Linked DNA regions of Xenopus tropicalis. The protein of the gene in region 5 interacts with the protein of the main gene of each other region in a pairwise test. Links are inferred from orthologs where the notes say so. Each region holds a gene or a part of one and is shown on either strand. Other genes may lie near its edges. The genes, in order: gadd45g, hspe1, lamtor5, ikbkg and eef1a1.

Region 1 (3,897 bases), on a different chromosome or scaffold from region 5:
GCTGCTCTTTTCTGTCTGTGCAGTAACAAAAATCTATCTATGCAGCAGCCCCCTGTCACTCTAATGCACTCATTAGGCATGCAGCCCATAGACCTTGCACGCTCTTGTGATAAGCAGCTGTCGCTGAAGGAGCAGCAGGTCAAATGGTCAGGGCTCAATAGAAAGCATTAGCTGCCTGCTGCAGACTATGGATTATACCAAGCAACACAGCCCCCTTCTATGCAAATCTTATTGTGCACTGCTAACAAAAGGGATGACTACAGCACATTGGCAGCTTTCTGAATAGCCAATGTAGTGGGGTAAAACAGACTGCATTTCTACACATGCCCAAACAATAGGGGCCCAAACTGTGAACCAACAGCTATTACAAGACTATAGCTTTTTTTGTTTGGTTGTTTTGGGGGATGCTTATTATTTTGTTCATTTAGAAAATGTAGGTAGCTCAAGCGCTGGGCCGCAGGTATAAACACCCTACCAGATAAGCATAAAAACCAAAACAAATTAAAGTGAGATTTAAAATGATTTATTGAATGACAGAAAACAACATTTTAAATGCCAAGTTTCATCAAGAAAAGCACTTCAATTTGCAACAGTGTCAAAATGTTGAAAATACAGAAAGTCTTTTTTTTTTTTTACTATGTATTCTGGGTAGTAGACTGTAGTAGTAGACTGTAATAACCAATAACAAGCTGCAATGAACAGAATTCAGTCTCAGTTTGCAATCCAGAGCTATATAGTCCCAGACTCTTCCAATGTGTATATAAAGTTCATGTTTCATATCTCAGCAAACTCCAAAAGCAGATACAGAACAGGTTCTTTCCTTTAACCAGCTGCTTAATTTGCCTCATATCCATCTTAAAAGCTTCCATTTTTGCTTTTAGCACATGCAAAACTCCTCCAGCTCCATGGCATGACTGCCCCCCCCCCAGTGCTTTGGGAGGCTTCAAACTGGCACCAACCCTTCCTTTTACAGATCAGTCCATGTTAAGTTTTCCTCCTTACTCTTCTGCTCCACAAGAGCCAACATCTTTGCCAGTCTTGGCGACTTAATCTGACCTCAACCAGCGTAATCCACAGACTTCGGAATGCTGCTGGTCCATCCAGGTGCACAACACCATGATAATAATGCAGAGATTTTACAATCTAATGTAGAGAAAAGATGTTCACTCTGGCAGGGTGATACTGGGAACCCAGTCGTAGACTTTACGGCTTTCATCACAGAATATACCCAGTTTCTCCAGGGCTGGATCTTTCCAGGCATCCTCATTTGGATTCTGAGAAAAGAAGAGGAACAGAGACTATGAGAACACTGTGCTTACAAGAAATTGCACAAGTCACAGCCATGGGCACAAAGCCAAAACATTGCCGATAAGCAGGAACATGACACTTACCGTAATAAGGATGCAGTGCAGGTCCTTGGGCTCTGCAGACTCATCTGTTAAGCCTAGAATTTGAGCTACTTTTTCTGTGTCATTCAGCCTCACGATATTGATGTCATTTTCACAGCAGAAAGCTTGAATCAGAGTGAAGTGGATCTGAAGGGCTATATCACCCTCGTCGTACTCGTCTGCAGCCAAGATGCAGAAAGTGACACTATCTGGATCTCTGTAAAATCAAATTAAAAAAAAGAGAACATTAGTTCTGCTGCCAGCAAGCCTCAAGTGGGACTGTGTGTGGGCTGTGTTACATGCATGCATGAGTAAAGGGTGTGTGTGGGATCAGTGCAAAGGAGTGGGATACTTACACATTCATTACTTTGGCAGACTCATAGACTCCAACGGTCAGACACTCCTCTCTCTGGGCAGAGACCAATAGTTCATGCAGGGCTTTGCCAGCAGTTTGCATCCTACACAAGACAAATAAAAAGAAATGCATTTAGAGCCAGATCATAACTGAATATTTCTTTCCATATAACTGCAAGACTGGATGCTATGGCAGAAATCCCCACACTCCATAAAAGGAGCTTTAGCTAATGCCACCCACTCATGTTCCCCCATCTGCTAACTGCACATAGAGCTGCAGCTACTTCCCAATATGATCAATAATATTGCACTTTGGCTATATGCAACCAGTGAGTCCAAATCTCTGCACCCCTGGATCATAGCGCTTATTTCTGCGGTCATTTCTCCCTTACAAACGCTTTACTCTACTACGACCCTCCTGCAGAGCTGGGGTTGAACTACAAATCCCAGAATCCCGGATAGGCAGGCGGTAGATCCCTTAGAATAAAAGAAGGCGGAATTGGTATTCTGAAATTACCTGTCAGCGCTTTCAACAACGGTTTCTTGTCCGTGAACTTCTTCCAGAGTCATGATTTTCCGGGTAAGCCACAAAAATGTGAGTGCGAGAGACTTCTCAAATATCCACCAAAGGGTCCGGAAGAAGAAGAGTATAATATCCACAGTAGCTTCAGAGCAGTTAGAATCCCAAGCGAAGTGTGAGGAAACGGAGCGACTGAGCCGGTATTTATGCGCTGAGAGGCGTAGGCGGGGTCTGGTCTCACTCCTTTGCTCTGATTGGCCGGGCGGGGGAGGCATTGTAATGCTAATAGAGCAACAGAACGCGTGCCAGAAGGCCACGTGGGGGAGGAGACGAGGGGAAGGGGGGCAGTAGAAAGGAGGGGGGGGCAGTAGAAAGGAGGGGGGGGGCTCAGTAGAATGGCCGGCCGGTGGGCGCACTGGGTTTTTTTTTTTCTTTTACAATGACTCAAAGTCTGCCTGCTGCCCTTTGTCATGCTGTTGCCAGGCAGAATGGGGGTCTTATGATTTGGGCTTTGCACGAAATGGGAGAGAACATCAAAAAGATCCTTAAAACTTCAGATCTTTGCACTGTGTGTCACAAATGCACCAACGGCAACACATTGATTTGTTTCTGCTGTTCTGGGAACACTGACTATTTATTGGCTTGCTCATGAGCTGTGTGTGCAGGGGCAGCAAGCATCATCTGGGCACAGGGCTACAACTCATGGGCTCCATTAACCATGGCAGTGCTGGACAGGTGGGCCCTGTGGCAGGGTGCTCCATACAGGTGTGCTGGGCAGGGATATTATGCTCATTAGCAGGGAAGATCTGATAACCCTTACTTTAAGCAGACATCTGGCCTGCTGCTATTAATGCAATAAAGGCGATTTTAATGACCCTGCTAACGTGGGGGAAGGACGAGGCCCTGTATACAGATAATGGGGGCTGTGTTTGCGGCAGATTGCGAATGGCACACGCTGCTCGTTAGCATTTGTATAGAGGGGCTCACAATGGGGAGAGGGGCTGGCGTGTGGCAGTTTGCAGATCAGACAATCGCTCCCTTCTTCTCCTTACTAGGGACAGAGTCCACCTGCCGCTGGGGTGGGGTCCTGTAGAGGAAAGTGGGACACAAATGGATCTGACAATCTGTTCCACATCGCAGCAACCCCCCCAGCACGCTTCCAGGCTCTGATTGCTTTTTGGGGGATGCAAGGCTTACTTTAACCCTTTCTGCACGGTGCCTAATGCCTTTAGCCCTGTGCACAGCTTGCAGTATGCGCAGCTTCTTGTTAGTGAATTAGTCTTCTGTCCCCTTTAACTTCATAGGGGTCTCTGCAATGGTTATTGCTTTCTATACCCCACTGTTATCTCTGATCCTTACTGCACTTTCCTGGCTCCACACTAACCCCCTGTGCAAGTGGGGCAGGCAGGCAGTGTGTATCCTTACAGTACCATATTAATCTCGGGGGGCTGCATTGCAACATCGTTACTGAACTCATTCAGACACATGGAGAATGGGAGCAGACAGGACTAGACAGGGTGGAATGCACACGGCTGTAGCTGCAGTTCCAGACAGAGGAGCAGTCAGGAAAGGAAGCCAACTCTTGCACACTGGCACCCACTGCTACTTATGGCTTATTATATAAATCTGGGCCAC
Region 2 (4,089 bases), on a different chromosome or scaffold from region 5:
GATCGAGCAGGCCCTTGGGCCCCTTCCTCTTCATCCCTTTGACCTTCCTCCTCCTCCAAACAGATCTTGCAGCCTGCTACCCTCTCCTAGATCTGCAAGTGTAGTAGAACGTAGAATCTATGATCAGTGGCACTTAAATACTTTTATCCACAGAATGCAGATTCTACATTCTGTGGCATATAAATGGTTAAAGAATAGTGATAAATGGAACATTTTCTAGTTGGAACAATGTTTATCCTTGGTCTTTGACCCTCATTTGTTTATAAATGACCTTAAAGATGTCACTCTAAAAACAACCACTGTTTTGCTGGTGTTAAACTGTGGAAAACTATTGGTTTCATGCAGGATGTTTTCACTTTGCGGAGAAATTTTAAAGAGGATGTAAAGTCATTTTTTAAAATACACATATAGATTCTTAGCACTACACTTTGTAATATATGTCTGTTAAAAAATGTGATACTTGCTCGGATGTAAAAGCGTTTGTTTCTGCAGCTTTCTTTTCTCTCCCTTGATTACAATCCCCCTTGAAGTTCAGAGGCCCCTGGCCTTCATACTAACCTGGTCCTGAGGGACAGCAATTCCAGAACAAATATGTAGCTGTGTGAGCGTTAAACACCCTTGACCCCTGTCTAACAGTTAAGCATTGAAGGGGCTGCCAATAAATCATACGCAAGAAGGACACTGAACTTCAAAGGGAATCTCAATCAAGGAAGAGAAAAGAAAGTTGCAGAATCGATCGCTTGTATCTCAAAAGGATACAAGTACGCAACCACAATATTTTCCTACGACTGATTTGAATTTGTGACATTTCCAAACATCAGAAATTACTGTAGTTACTCCAAATTATTTGCATATCGTGATTTTAACCACAAAAAAATTGTGGTTTAATGAATTTGCCCCCCATGAGTTTTGTTGTTTTACACCATGGTTTGTTAATTTACTTAGTCTGATTGGGGACATTTGTCCTATTTGATTTTATGTCACCATGTTAAGTAGTAATATGCTTTTCTGACCTTGTTGACCACACTGCATTCTAATTTGTAGTACCTGGGGATTTTTATTGTATCAAATCATATGAGGGTTCTGTATTGGTTCCACTTTTATTTAATGTGTTTATTGATTACTCAGGGGAGGGTATTATAAGGAATGTATCAGTGTTTTCAGTTGACACAAAACTCCCAGTAGCCCAATGAATTCTATCCAGGATGTGGCATCCTAGCAGAAGGATTGTGACAAACTAGCAACCCGGGTGGCTATGTGGCAGATGAGATTTAATGTCAATAATTGTAATGTCATGCACCTGGGATGTAAAAATATACAAGCCACTTATACCCTTAATGGGACTGGACTAGGCAAATCCATAATGGAGAAGGACCATGTAGATAATAAACTTGGCTGTAGCAAACAATGCCAGGCAGCAGCTGCAAGGGCAAAAAGGTTTTGAGCTGTATTGAATGGGGTATAGATAGATGCTTTATTTACCAGTAGGCCCATGCCCTTTCTGCAGACACGAGTGCACCCATTCAGACTAAAAGAAAGGAGGTCCTGTTCAGAGCTGTAAAGTTGTGGAATTCTCTCCCTGAATCAGTCAAACTGGCTAATACATTAGATAGCTTCAGGAAAGGGTTGGATGGCTTTTTAGCAAGTGTGGCAATACAGGGTCATGAAAGATAGTTCATAGTACAAATTGATCAAGGTACTGATCCGATTGCAGTCTTGGAGTCAGGTAAGATTTTTTCACCCTCTGTGCTAAATTGGAGAGGCTTCAGAAGAGATTATTTGCCTTCCTCTGGATCAACCAGCAGTTAGGCAGGTTATATGGGCATAAAAGGTTGAACTTGATGGACATCAACTATGTATAAACCACAATCTCCCTTCACCAATGGATATAATTGTGACTGGTCTCTGTTCACTACAAGGCACCGAATCAGCCTTGGTGCAGACATGGGGGTGGAATTTTACTTGAAAATGCATGAGTTACCATTCCTGCACCAAAATCCACTGCACTCAGGCTGAAGCAGTGTCTTTCAGTGTATACACAGGAGCAAGTGGATCAGCTGATACTCTGCCTGTGTATAAATGCAACCAAGTGTGGTACTAACCTTAAAGGCCAGAGCGTCAACTACTGACAGACAATGCCTTTCCTAATCTGGACAACTATTCTGAGCAGCAGAACCCTAAACTGTATTGCTGCCCATTCTTTATATGTGCAGGTTGTACATGACCAGGTGCAGTAAGTTTAAAGAAAAGCTGAAGTGTGATCCTCATCCAATGAACAGTGTATGAGCTATCCCAAAAGCATGAAACAAAAATGTAGAGAAAAGCAGGTAAATAGGACGTCTAAAGTGGACAGTTAACAAACCTTATAAAACTAATTATTACATAAAACCCATGCAACACAATCTATAAAGAATCTTGATCAACCCTAAATCCACAGAACACTGAATCTATGACTTGCGACTATTCTTTAATTTATAGTGCTGCTCATTTTAGCCATAACACTTGAAAAATAAAATAAAAAGCGTGTCTTAAACATCATGCAAGCTTGCATAGTTTAACTTTTTACAATATGTATTTCAATTATAATCCCCACTTACTTGTACGCAGGACATCATTCTTCTACCTTACATATTACTGGTGAATGTACAGCAGCAACAACGCAAATATACGAATTAACTATATAAATAACAAAAACTGGCACATCATGCGATAGTCAGGCATACCTAACGGTTAAACGCAGCACTCACCATAGTTAAGCAAGACTTGATGTGCAAAGCAGCAACCAACTCTACAAGCTCCTAGCGCAGACTGGGACACTTGACCTACAACCACGTGAATAGAAGGCAAGCTTTGCACATGCGCAGTAGAATTAAGGGACGAGCGTAAAAACACACAATCAGGTGTAAAATAGAATTGCACTAACCATATGTTGTATATTTTTTCAACACTATATAGTCCGCTTTGTATTAAAACGAATATTAACGACTAGTTCAAAACTCATCAGCCCAAGGCTGATGAGCTTTGAACTTTAGTTTTTTGCATCCGGGTTATCTGTCAATGTCACCTCGAACCTTGGAAAGCGAAGCTATTCCAGAACGTTCTGGAAAGGCGGCCCAGGAACTAGTATATCGGCATATGCTTAGGTCGTTGTGCAAGCTCATACGTAATAGGAGGAGCAACTTGTTCAGTTGTAATAAATGCCAAGGGGGGTTCTTTTATTCAGCCGTGTTATTCGTTCATGCTTAGCCCGTGGTAGTTAAAGCTTCCGGAAGGCTGAGGCACGTCATTCCCAGAGGAGGTTTAGAGCTTGTGCTGTAGGTCTGACAATTCCATTCGGCTGCAGACACGTGTGTGCTTGTACAGTAAGTTGCTCTTCGCTTTGCCTGCTCAGGTGAGTTGCTGGACCGGCTTCTTTTTGTGTCATTCTTCTTTCACAATTGGGCTTTGAGTGTAAATTGCAAGAATTAACTGTCATTTCTTGCAGCTAGCCGTTAGAGCAATGAAACATTGTGAATTCTCAAGTTAAATTGGTTTTCAATATGAATTTTTTTTTTACATTTCACATACAGCAATAAAAATGAGATTACAAGTTTATATGTTATTATAAGCTTATATTTGTTTATAAGCAATTATATTGGTGCCGAACGCGTGTATTGCAGTGATTTGTAAAGGACGAGTCTTATTCTAAAATCTAAATCATGGGTTGGTACATACAATTATTCAGTCTGTTCCCGTAGAATAAGATTCTGCCTACAGTAAATAATACAACATACGTGAGTGGTTTAACCATTGTTAGTGTAGCAAAGCAGATTCATTTGTTAAACTAGGTCCCCAGTGTGAGCAGCGTAATATGCAATTATGAGTGTCACTTTTCTGACTGTTTTTATATGTATTGCAATACTCCACTATGTATTGCAATTCAGTACTAAAAAAAAAATTGGTTGTAGTTCTGTGAAGTTCATTCATATTATGACCTTGTGTATTATGCCCTTTCAGATACCTGCATGTCAGGTCTTTGTTATGTCATCATCCCAAGTTTAAAGTAATTAAGGGGAACTTCTCTCCCATTTTTAGGGCATTCTTTAATTC
Region 3 (4,002 bases), on a different chromosome or scaffold from region 5:
CGCCGATCCAACTGAATTTTTTAACCTGCCGATCTATATCTGGCAATTTTAGGCCAGCTATCAGTCGGGCAGGCAGTCGTTGCTGCCCCTACACGGGCCGATAAGCTGCCGAATCAGTCCAAGGGACCAATATCCGGCAGCTACAATCAGCCTGTGTATGGCCACCTTTAGTGTTCAAGAGAGAGATAAGCTTGTAGCAGCCTAGAGTATTGTAGTGTTTTACCCTATTACAGCGTGACTGCAATGTGAGCTTATGTAAAGAATGTAACTGTATCTGTGTTTTCCCATATGCTAGTATAGGATGGGTTTTCTCGTAAAATATTGAAAAATCTTGACACTAAGCCGTTTGGGCCCATACCCTTAACTGTGGGAGCATCCTGTTAGAATAAATGCATGCTACTCTATGCAAGGGCACCCTCTCCTGTTTTTTATTGAACAGTCTGGCAAAAACCACCATTTGTGCCGAGTGGCACAAGAATTGAAAGTGAATAGTGATCATTTTTATATGACCCGGACATAAGTCCAATAGCATAACTCTTAGTTTCTCATTCAAAAGACCACTTCTGTCAAGCTTCTGGTTGCACTCTGCACCCTAGGCCTAATAAACAATCCAGCATGAGGTGAGGAATAACATGCAAGTTAAGGATTGGGCAGGTAGTAGTAGGGGGAATTTACATCTGTCCTTGCCCCAGTAGAGCTTTCAGTTCTTACCACATTCACAAACTCTGTGGTTATGTTTATCAATAGCCACTTAACTTAACTAAGGTGAACAAACCCTTTAATATATATTTTAGAAATATTTTATTTCCTTTGATTGAAGCCCACCACATCCATTTGGGAGAAGAAACAACGTCATGTGCAGTAACAAATCTAGAGCTCCATGGAACTGGGTGTAAAATTCACTCTGGACATTAACCCACGTGACACCCAAAGTCAGTTAACCCTCTGTAAACACTAAATTGCAAAAGGAAGTCAAGAAACCAAAATGGACAAGAATCCTACTGTCAGGCCAGTAAAAACAGTAATCAAGAAACCTATTCTCAGAGTATGTTAGCTTTGTATGAAGCATTGTGCATTGTAGCGGAACCACCATTAAGCCAAAGCATATTAATAGTATTTTTCATTCATTGATTTTTCTTAATAGCGCCAGAGCTTCAAATACTGCAAACGAAAACTCCCATTAGCCCCACCTTCTGTCTAACAGTCAGCTGACCGGGAGGGTCACATGAGCAAACACCCGGAAGAGGAACTGCTTTAAGGTTTTTTTGACAGGAAGAAGAGACTCAGCTATGGAAGCGGCTCTGGAGCAGCATTTGGAAGATACGTGAGTGCTCTGTAAACACATACTAAGGAAAATAAAATTAATTGGTTTTTTTCAATTAGTAAAATCAGGACATTTAAAGCGAAAGAACAGAAATAATTCAAACAGACAGAAATGCACTTCAGAACTTGAATTTCGTAACGTGTCTTTAAGTTTGCTGGTAATAGTTCAGATTCTCTTATTTTTAATCATTCCTACATGCGTGATCTCACTCAGGAGAGGAAATCGTGGGGGGAGGAAGCGGTGAACACTGTCACTGTTCATTCGGAGACTGGGGCATCTGGGGGAGGGGGTATAAGCATAAGTGTGAGCTATTAGTTACACAAGGTAACGACCATGTTGTTGCTGTTAGGCGGGTAGGCAGTTGAAGAGGGGATGTAAATTCGGATGCACAGATTAATTGCAAGGAAGTTGTTGGAGGGGTTTACTCGAAAAGCAGAGGAGGCCTTGGAGTTTTTGTTAGGAGGAAGCAGTGCAATATCAGGCATGGAGGTTTGGGGAGTCATGAGTTAACTGCATGTAAATCCTTATTGGGGGTGAGAAGGCTCATGAAACTGTGTAGGTGAATTGGGTGGCAGAGGTGGCCATGCAGTTATGTGTAAGGAAATGGCACAAGTGGCTGGCAGGTAGGTTATGTGAGGAGGATGATGGAGTGGAGTTGTGTAGGTGGGCAAAGTGGCATAACTGAAAGGGATGGGGGCTGTGCATGTTTTGATGGAGTCAGGCATACTGGCTCTTGTGTGGAGCTGAAACGTCGGATTAATAAAAACCATGTAAGATATTGCTAAAAAACTTTTTTGGTGAATATTAACCAAAGTCCTGTGAGTGCTAACCTTTATTGCAATTGTGTGTATATATATATATATATATATATCTGTATTCATTGGTGCGTGCATAGGTGCTCATATATACATGCGTATGTGTGTATGAAAGTGCTTATATATGTGCACATATAGACACATATATAAGTAAATATTTAGGTGCACATGTGTATATATGTGCATCAATATGTGTGTAATTGTATGTGTATATGTGCAACAACACGTGTGTACATATAGGTCTGTAAATAAGTGTATATATAGATGTGTGTTTGTGTCCAAGCAGACACACAACCATGTGGCTTCCTTGTTTGACTCTACACCTGGAATTTTACTTAACAAATACATTCATGGTCTTGATCCTCTGCTAGTGAGTATTTTCTAGTGCATGATCTGTATAGAGGTGTTTAATAAACGGGTTGCACAGATCGATCTGCCCACAGTGCGATCACATATTATTGATTCCTTAACCAAGATTCAACTTTATTTAAACACTTGATTATATTTCTGACTATTTTACTCTAATATTCTGACTTTCACGGTACATCCCTGACATCTAGCTTCATAAAAAGTGTTACTCTTCTTAGACCTTGTGGTTATTCTCTTGTACTTTCTATTTTGTCCATTTAGTATTCTTTTTTTATTGCCTGTCTATATAATTTTTGTTATTATTTATTTTTGATATAATTTTGATCTCTGTCTGGTAACGTAGGATTACGTCATCTCCACTTTTTCCCACCACTGTGTGCTTTTTAGACACTGAGTTTGTTGTATTCACCACTTTGATAAAGGCTAGAGTGCTAGCCGAAATTTTAGTCTCCTATATAATAAAACAACAAGTCCTGCGAGTACTGACACTTCCTCCAGTATATTCAATAATTTTTGGACCTGAGTGAGTGAGTGCCGGCATCTATTTGGAAGTATATATATATTTCTGAGAAAAGTTGTGTTGTTTAATACTGACACAAGAAACATCAGAGACTGACTAATTGTCTAAACTTTGCAACATCATCTTTCTTTTCCCCTGACTATAAGGACAAAATGGCAGCTATGGCCACTCTATCACTTTTTAAATTTGTTTGGTTAATCTATAATAATCTATATCTATAATATCCTATGAACTAGTAGAGATGATATAGCTGAAATAGCTTTCAGATAGGTAACCAGTATTTGTTTGGTATCTTGACACAAGTGTTTTGCCGTTCCTTACTTTTTCAGAATGAAAAATCCATCAATTGTTGGAGTTCTGTGTACAGATTCACAGGGGCTAAGTCTGGGATGTGAGTACCCTTTTACATTGGTTTTGTGTATAATATTGAAAATTGATGTAAATTGCAAAAGTACTCTGAGGAACACTCTGAGTAAGGTTAACAAATTCATTTTTAGGCTTAATTCAAATAAACAGCTGTGGAAATCCTTCCCAGAAGAGTAGAGGCTATTATAGCAGCAAACGGAGGAACAGCTTTATATTAATTACGTTGCTCTGAGAATTACCTTTGACCATTTGGTGTAGCTGCTGAACTTCCAATATTTGTCTTATGTGAAGGCTCCCTCTCCCTTTTATGGAGATTGCTATCTGTTACTCTGCAGCCAAAGTAATCTGTGAAAGAGTCAGTAGAAACAAACAGACTCTTGCATGGGGGTACTGACCCCTTTGGTAAACCCTGTTAAGTAACACAATAGGTTTTTAATCCATTGGTCACCTGGGCTGAAGGCACCATGGCCTGCACACACACAACCATGCCCCTGATCCCCTCATCATGCTTCATTAGTCCAAAACCCTGCCTACTCCATGCAAGCCCCACCCTACTTGTGTTTTTAATTCTCTTGGGGCCCCTGACAGCAGCAGACAATATATGCCAA
Region 4 (3,513 bases), on a different chromosome or scaffold from region 5:
TGAAGCTTCGATCTAGGGCTAAAGTGGCAGAATGTATGGAGGAGGATCAAGCTACAGTATAGCAGCCGCTGAAGGCAGGCAGTAGACTGGCCAGTAACTTCCTGGCTACCCTGCCGATGGCCTGGGTTGCACATTAAAATCTTTTATGGTGCAATATAGGGTTGGCCTTTTCTATGTGCACAGCTGCCCCCGCCCGGGGGTTAGAAGTTTCCCTAGCAACATAAAGTTGCCACAGAGAGAAATACTCAGAAATTTCTAGTTACACCGCTGCATTACCTTGTCCTGCTAGACCCATAGATTCTCATGCCAGCTAGACTCATAATGCACTGGGAGAGTGAAGGAAGATTGCATAACAGTACTCTGATGGAAAGTTCCCTGGGCTAGTGTGTTTTTTTTTTTTTTTTTTTTTTTTTTTAAGAAGTGGAGCACTGGCCTGGGGTAGAAAGGAAGAGACTTTAGTCATCAGGCACCAACCACCCCCCCCCCCCCCACACCCTTTTTATCTATTGGGCATTCTCTTGTTACTTTCTATAGCAGTGATTTCCCAACCAGTGGCTCACAAGCAACAAAACCGCCAAACAGAGCCTCCTGTAGGCTGCCAGTTTGCATAGGGGATACCACTAGACAATCACAACCCATGTTTGGTACCCCTGGAACTTTTTGCTTGCATGTGTTGCTCTCCAGCTTTTGTAACATTAGAATGTTGCTCACTGGTGAAAAAAGTTGGGGACCCCGATCTATAGGATTTCTCCCTTTGCATTTGGATCCATCCGAGACAGCTAGGCTCATCACATACTCTGCCCAGTTAGAAAGTTTGCTCTGCCTGACTCCTCGGCTTGGCCCCTGTGTGACTGCTCCGCTGTGTCTGTCGTTAGGATTACGCCACCCCAGGGAGCTCTTTGTCCTCATGTGAAACACTGACCCACAGTATCTGTGAAACAATCAGGCAGACTGTGCCAGATGAAGAGGGGCCATCCCGAAACAAGCAGGTGAGATACACAGACCTCTGATCACTTCTATTTTCCCGCCCTGCATTTGTTCAAGTACAGGGATTAAGGTGATGGTCCTGATTGGTTGACAAGTAGAGGCCTGTTGTACTTTGATTTAATTGGTGTCCTGCAGTTAAAATCATGAAAACACATTTTTTTTTTATAAGAGCCCCATCATTGTTTAACAACTTTCCAGAGACCTGGTCCCATGGTTTATCATTATTCTCTTTCACTTTCTACAGAAAGAAAATGGCAACAAGGAAGTTTGTATGGAAAATGAAATCATGCAAGGAACTGTGGACCGGTGAGCCTGACGTAAAAAATGTAACAAGTTGCTATGTGTATGAACTGGCAAAGCAGTTTATAAATTGTGTGTTTATTCCAGGAACTCTAGAACTGAGCAGGAATTCCAGAAGAAACTGCAGGACGCTGAAGCCAGGTGGGTAGCTACATGTAGTTACATAGGGTTGAAAAAAGACCAGGGTCCATCAAGTTCAACCCTTCTAAGTAAACCCAGCAACACACAAACCCATACTGACCTGTCTTTATACTCGCATACATAAACCATATATACCAACATAAATACTAACTGTAGATATTAGTATCACAATAGCCTTGGGTACTATGCTTGTCCAAGAACTCATCCAGGCCCCTCTTAAAAGCATTAACAGAATCTGCCATTACCACATCTGTAGGAAGGGCATTCCCCAACCTCACTGCCCTCAGCATGAAAAACCACCTACTGTGCCTCTGGTGCACTGATGGTTTTTATGGGAAAAAGAACATTACCTATCTGCCTGTAATCCCCTCTAATGTACTTGTACAGAGTAATCATATCCCCTCGCAAGCGCCTTTTTCCATGTATAATATAAGGGACATCGTACACTGGTTTGCTCACAGGCTGCACTGTAAATATATCTTCCCAATGCAGGAATACTCAGTTTCTGCGTCAGATTGCAGATCTACAAGAGGAAGTATCTAAGCTTAGGCGCCAGGTGGTTGAAAAAGGAGAGGAATCTCAAAAGCAACTGCAAAGTTTGCAACTGCAGATGGAGGTGAGAATTCTACAGTGTTATTCAGGCCTAAACAGGCAATCTGTGGATTCAGGCAAATGCCAGAGGGGCTGCTGTAAGATGCCATAGACATTCACTATTTATTGGGCCTGGGGGGGCTGTTTGGGTCTCTGTGTACTTTAAATTCCAGGGCCTATTTTGAACCCCAGTCTGGGCCTGGTGGTATTACAGTCATGATATATGTACAGGTACCATGTGAGAATAATATAATGGGTTATACTGTTTCAAAGATGTTACGATGAAACTATTACAACTGTAAATGATTAATTTATTTTTGTTTGAACCTAATTTGGGTCCCCTGAGAAAAAGAATAAGAAACACTGGTTTAGGGACATGATCTGCAGCCAGAATGATGAAAAAAAATAATTTGTTTTTATATATGGTTGTCCAGCTGGCATTCCATGGGCCAGCTGCAAGTTTCCAAGGTATTTTTTGCCCCCCAGCCTCATAAACATCAGTATCAGATCCTCTGCTCTATATACAGTATTAGGATTGATATAATTATGTTATAGGTAAATGTCATATTAAGCAGAATTAACAATATCTTGGTTTTGATCTTGCAGCAACTGTCTGAGGAGAGGAATTCAGTAAAAGCCCAGGTGACCTCTCTATTGGGGGAGCTGAAAGAGAGTCAGACAAGTCTGGAGATCTGCCTGCAGGAAAAGAGAAAGGTAGAGGACAGGTTAGTACCCCATGGGAAACAGTGATGGATGCCTGCGTTGGTCACCCAGGAGAAGAGGATGGGTCAAAAAATCTAGGGCAATGTCTTTTGAAAGTATAAGTAAAACTTTTAAAATTAGTTGATGTAAAAATGATGAGATGAATTTTGTAATTTACATGTTATTTTTTTCCCAATATATTGAGGGTTAAAAGTACTGTTAATATGAATGCAGTTTTTAAACAGCACCACCTGCTGGTCACTTTCCAAACATGAAGTAGTTTTAGTGCTTAGAATAGCATTCTCATCAAATTTACATCAACTTATTTAAAAGGTTTACTTATCCGTTAAACTGTTGCTCATGCGTACTTGAGCCGGACTTGATTCAACCCTGTGGCACTGACCATTCATGCCTCTTGGTTGGCCCTCTCTATGGTGCCATTTCTGTCTCATGCTGAGAAGGCACTGTAACCAGAAAAAGGTGTCACTGTCCCTTTAAATTTAGCAGTGCTGTGCAGGTTACCCTGGTGCATAATGTGAGAATGGTTTGCTCCATAGGAGATGTGATTGGTCTATACTCTTGGAAACAGCTTGTGTGTGCCAAGTGTTTGATTTCTCTTTGCAGCCTCCGTAGTGCCCTGGAGGAGAAAAAGGGCTGGGAAGCCCAAGTGAAGCAACAGGTTGTGCAGCTTGATCAGCGAATGATGCAAGTACAGAATTTGGAAACAGCGTTAAAAATGGAAAGACAAAATGCCACAGACGAGAAGTAAGAGTCAGGATTGTTAGCTATTGC
Region 5 (3,974 bases):
TGCTGTGTTCTGTTCCGTTGTTATTGTAGATAAATAGGTTTCCTCTGCCGTAGTTTATTTAACTTTTATGGAACCACGCGTGCATTTGTTACGGAGTTGCTTGGGGCCGTGGTCTCTTTCAGCTGTGTATTAGCGTATTTCTGGCAATTAGTGTTACCGTATTGTTACACTAGATATCTTGGCGGGAAGGGAACATGGGTGCTTAAAGTGGGCGCAAAATGAAGAACGGTGCCAAAGCAAGGCTTGCGGCCTAGTCCCAATCTGCGCTGCATCCTCTCCTATGTAAGCCATCCGCCTCCTCTCAATATATACTTGGCTTTAGGCGGATGTGGTTAATATTGCCGGTGCTGTATTATTCCAGACGGTAAATGCTTAAGGCTCGACAAGTGAACGTGGTTTGGGGAAGGAGCGAGAGAGCTGTGCGGATGGGTGGCGGCGCGCCTACATGGGATTCATTGTACGTAGTGCAGTTTAGACTGGTCAGGCGAACATAGTGTTTGTGGTGCCTGTAAGCGCTGAACTATAGCAGGACTGGGGCTATTGCCAGTGTCAGGGCCCGGCTGGCACAATGGCGCTAGTGCTGACGTGTATCACCCTCTCTCCCAGGCAGGCTCGGCGTGGCCGGTGTATCCGAGCCAGTGGGGGCGGCTTCACTCACTAAATGGCCGGCGTGCTACGGGTTACTGCTGGCCCTGCTTGAACGCGGGATAGCAGCTGCTTACTTATTGGGTTAAATGTTCTGTGTGGGCTCTGCTCTTTTCTATAGAAATGAAACGTATCTAAACCATTAGTCCTGTTTAGCGTTGCGTTCCCCCATCTGGTTGTTCCATAAAGATGGCGGCGGCTCTCAGCTGAAGGATTTTTTTTTCTCCACAAGATGGAGGCTGAGTCACAAGTGAGGAGACAAAAGAGCTGGGAGCGCTGCATGCAGGGCCTGACTCATACACCAGGGGGAGTACAGGCCTCGCTCTTGCCTTCTTCCTTTTATGTAATGAGGGATTTCAGGGTTTTTTTTCCAACTAGATATCTGTGCAAAGTTCTTGAATTGTGGGTGGGGCTGCTTGTGTCTCCAGCCCTTGGAACTGCTGAGTAATGCCTGCCATGGCTTGCTTTGATGTGACCTATATTTTTAGCTTTTTTTTTTTTTTTGATGTTTTTTAGTGTCCACCGCCAAACATCTAACAATCCACAATGGGAAAGGAAAAGACTCACATCAACATCGTCGTCATTGGACACGTAGATTCTGGAAAGTCCACAACAACTGGACATCTTATCTACAAATGTGGTGGTATCGACAAGAGAACCATCGAAAAGTTCGAGAAGGAAGCTGCTGAGGTAAATTTTGTTAACAATCGCACTTCTTGTGGTATTGCAGCAGTCTCACCCCCCCCCCCCCTTACTAAATATTTAGTCCTGCACATGTTTGTTTAGACAAGTCTTGCCTGTGCACTAATGTGTACTTGTATTTGGTTTGTATTAATAGCCACCTGCCTTGGGTGTTTGTGATAGTAGGGGGAGTATAAACATTGCAGTGTGTCAGGTCATTCTTGGCAGAAGCCTTGTAAGGGGTTTTTAATCATGTCATTGCTGAACTTTTCACCTAACAGATGGGCAAGGGCTCCTTCAAGTACGCCTGGGTCTTGGACAAACTGAAGGCCGAGCGTGAACGTGGTATCACCATTGACATCTCCCTGTGGAAATTTGAGACCAGCAAATATTATGTTACTATCATTGATGCTCCAGGACACAGAGACTTCATCAAGAACATGATCACTGGTACCTCTCAGGTAGGTTTTAAGTCCCAAGCAGCTTTGCTATTTATATCTAAAGTAGGTGAGGCAGGCTTGCTGTTAAGTGCACATGAGTAAAAATGTATGTTTTCTCTTGTAGGCTGACTGTGCTGTCCTGATTGTTGCTGCTGGTGTTGGTGAATTTGAAGCTGGTATCTCAAAGAACGGACAAACTCGTGAGCATGCCCTCCTTGCCTACACTCTGGGAGTAAAGCAACTGATCGTTGGTGTTAACAAAATGGATTCAACTGAACCCCCATACAGCCAGAAAAGATATGAGGAAATCGTTAAGGAAGTCAGCACATACATCAAGAAGATTGGTTACAACCCTGATACTGTTGCCTTTGTACCTATTTCTGGATGGAACGGTGACAACATGCTTGAGCCCAGCGCCAATGTAAGTACTGTGGCAGTTCACTTAAATGTCTACAGCCTGGCATACTCTCTGGTTAGTGTAACAGTATTTTGATGTATACAAATCTTGTTTTTTCTAGATGCCTTGGTTTAAGGGGTGGAAAATCTCACGTAAAGAGGGATCTGGCAGCGGAACTACCCTGCTGGAAGCTCTTGACTGCATTTTGCCACCAAGTCGCCCAACTGATAAGCCTCTGCGTCTGCCTCTGCAGGATGTCTACAAAATTGGCGGTAAGTAACACTTTTCCTATGTGTATGCTGGAATGTTGTTCGTGCTTTAGGTTTACTGGCCTACATGGTTTGTGGGGGAAACCAAGTTAAAAATCGTGCATCTGTTTAAAAAAACTTAGCAGCCTTTTTTTTTTTTTTTTTTTTTTGTACAGGTTAACTGCTTGTCTGAAATAATCCCTCCCCCCCCAACTGCAGTAACAAATTTGAAGTTCACCAGGCATGGATGTCCCTAGTTAACAGCTTTGATATATTACGTTACTGCTTTTTTAATGTCTAGTGAATAAAATATTGGCAGCAAAGAGCTCATAAATCTAATTTTAGCTTAGACACTCTAAACAAGTCTCCAGAAGGAAGACTAGTAATTGCCAACATGTACGTTTAGGCCTTGTTTTGGCAGTGCTGGGATTTAGTATGTTAAAGTATTCACACTAAAATGGCTGTTTCTTTCAGGTATTGGTACTGTACCAGTTGGTCGTGTGGAGACTGGTGTCCTTAAGCCAGGCATGGTGGTTACTTTTGCCCCTGTTAATGTAACAACTGAAGTTAAATCTGTTGAAATGCACCATGAAGCCCTTAGCGAGGCCATGCCCGGTGACAATGTTGGCTTTAACGTGAAAAACGTTTCTGTGAAGGACGTCCGTCGTGGCAACGTTGCTGGTGACAGCAAGAATGACCCACCAATGGAAGCTGGTACCTTTACAGCACAGGTATGCAAGATGGCTTATGGCTAAAGGAAGTGATATGGCTTTCCATAGCTGGCTATGGGGGCATTTAAATCGCTTTGCATAACTCTAAGATTGTTTTCTAAATGTCTGACTTAATAGGTTATCATCCTGAACCACCCAGGCCAGATTGGTGCTGGATATGCCCCTGTGTTGGATTGCCACACAGCTCACATTGCTTGCAAGTTTGCTGAGCTGAAGGAAAAGATTGATCGCCGTTCTGGTAAGAAACTGGAAGACAATCCCAAGTTCCTGAAGTCTGGTGATGCTGCCATTGTTGACATGATCCCAGGAAAGCCTATGTGCGTGGAGAGCTTCTCTGACTACCCCCCTCTTGGTAAGTCTTTTTCAAAATAACCTTTTTGCAGTCTTGTAAAATGCTACCCAGTAGGCCCTTAAGCTAATTATCCATTTATTTTTTTCAAGGTCGTTTTGCTGTCCGTGACATGAGGCAGACTGTTGCTGTAGGAGTCATCAAGGCGGTCGATAAGAAGGCTGCTGGAGCTGGCAAAGTCACAAAGTCTGCTCAGAAAGCACAGAAAGGCAAATGAATATTTCCAGCATCTCTCACCTCAGTCATAACCAGTGGTGGAGGATTGGTCTCAGAACTCTTTCTATCAATTGGCCATCAGAGTTTAATAGTCAAAGACTGGTTAATGATTACAATGCATCGCAAAAGCTTCAGAAGGAAAAAAATGCTCGTGGACACATTTGTTTGTGGCAGTTTTTAAGTTATTAGTGTTTTAAATCCAGTAATTTCTAAATGGAAGCAACTTGACCAAAATCTGTCACCAAATTGAGACCATTAAAAAAAAGT

The links.
Region 1: the proteins of eef1a1 (region 5) and gadd45g interact in a two-hybrid assay, tested with the Homo sapiens proteins (2 studies listed by BioGRID and IntAct). The link is inferred for Xenopus tropicalis from reciprocal best matches to the Homo sapiens genes EEF1A1 and GADD45G.
Region 2: the proteins of eef1a1 (region 5) and hspe1 interact in a two-hybrid assay, tested with the Homo sapiens proteins (2 studies listed by BioGRID and IntAct, with this or other methods). The link is inferred for Xenopus tropicalis from reciprocal best matches to the Homo sapiens genes EEF1A1 and HSPE1.
Region 3: the proteins of eef1a1 (region 5) and lamtor5 interact in a two-hybrid assay, tested with the Homo sapiens proteins (2 studies listed by BioGRID and IntAct). The link is inferred for Xenopus tropicalis from reciprocal best matches to the Homo sapiens genes EEF1A1 and LAMTOR5.
Region 4: the proteins of eef1a1 (region 5) and ikbkg interact in a two-hybrid assay, tested with the Homo sapiens proteins (2 studies listed by BioGRID and IntAct, with this or other methods). The link is inferred for Xenopus tropicalis from reciprocal best matches to the Homo sapiens genes EEF1A1 and IKBKG.

The regions. Positions count from the first base shown.
Region 1 is NC_030677.2:138,047,708-138,051,604, reverse strand, and holds gadd45g (growth arrest and DNA damage-inducible protein GADD45 gamma), read right to left. Parts: upstream 2,423-3,897; 5' UTR 2,313-2,422; coding exon 2,260-2,312; intron 1,847-2,259; coding exon 1,745-1,846; intron 1,606-1,744; coding exon 1,392-1,605; intron 1,275-1,391; coding exon 1,164-1,274; 3' UTR 508-1,163; downstream 1-507. UniProt on the Homo sapiens protein: Involved in the regulation of growth and apoptosis. Mediates activation of stress-responsive MTK1/MEKK4 MAPKKK.
Region 2 is NC_030685.2:46,535,975-46,540,063, reverse strand, and holds the start of hspe1 (10 kDa heat shock protein, mitochondrial), read right to left. Parts: upstream 2,811-4,089; 5' UTR 2,751-2,810; coding exon 2,748-2,750; intron 2,671-2,747; exon of another isoform or gene 2,616-2,670; coding exon of another isoform or gene 2,598-2,615; intron 1-2,597. UniProt on the Homo sapiens protein: Co-chaperonin implicated in mitochondrial protein import and macromolecular assembly. Together with Hsp60, facilitates the correct folding of imported proteins.
Region 3 is NC_030678.2:72,306,213-72,310,214, reverse strand, and holds the start of lamtor5 (ragulator complex protein LAMTOR5), read left to right. Parts: upstream 1-1,197; 5' UTR 1,198-1,289; coding exon 1,290-1,324; intron 1,325-1,676; exon of another isoform or gene 1,677-1,844; intron 1,845-1,874; exon of another isoform or gene 1,875-1,915; coding exon of another isoform or gene 1,916-1,947; intron 1,948-3,357; coding exon 3,358-3,419; intron 3,420-4,002. UniProt on the Homo sapiens protein: As part of the Ragulator complex it is involved in amino acid sensing and activation of mTORC1, a signaling complex promoting cell growth in response to growth factors, energy levels, and amino acids.
Region 4 is NC_030684.2:25,692,635-25,696,147, forward strand, and holds part of ikbkg (NF-kappa-B essential modulator), read left to right. Parts: intron 1-875; coding exon 876-989; intron 990-1,231; coding exon 1,232-1,293; intron 1,294-1,374; coding exon 1,375-1,428; intron 1,429-1,920; coding exon 1,921-2,044; intron 2,045-2,625; coding exon 2,626-2,744; intron 2,745-3,345; coding exon 3,346-3,486; intron 3,487-3,513. UniProt on the Homo sapiens protein: Regulatory subunit of the IKK core complex which phosphorylates inhibitors of NF-kappa-B thus leading to the dissociation of the inhibitor/NF-kappa-B complex and ultimately the degradation of the inhibitor.
Region 5 is NC_030681.2:91,801,418-91,805,391, forward strand, and holds the start of eef1a1 (elongation factor 1-alpha 1), read left to right. Parts: upstream 1-1,161; 5' UTR 1,162-1,191; coding exon 1,192-1,335; intron 1,336-1,607; coding exon 1,608-1,787; intron 1,788-1,890; coding exon 1,891-2,187; intron 2,188-2,284; coding exon 2,285-2,435; intron 2,436-2,885; coding exon 2,886-3,142; intron 3,143-3,259; coding exon 3,260-3,494; intron 3,495-3,583; coding exon 3,584-3,708; 3' UTR 3,709-3,974. UniProt on the Homo sapiens protein: Translation elongation factor that catalyzes the GTP-dependent binding of aminoacyl-tRNA (aa-tRNA) to the A-site of ribosomes during the elongation phase of protein synthesis.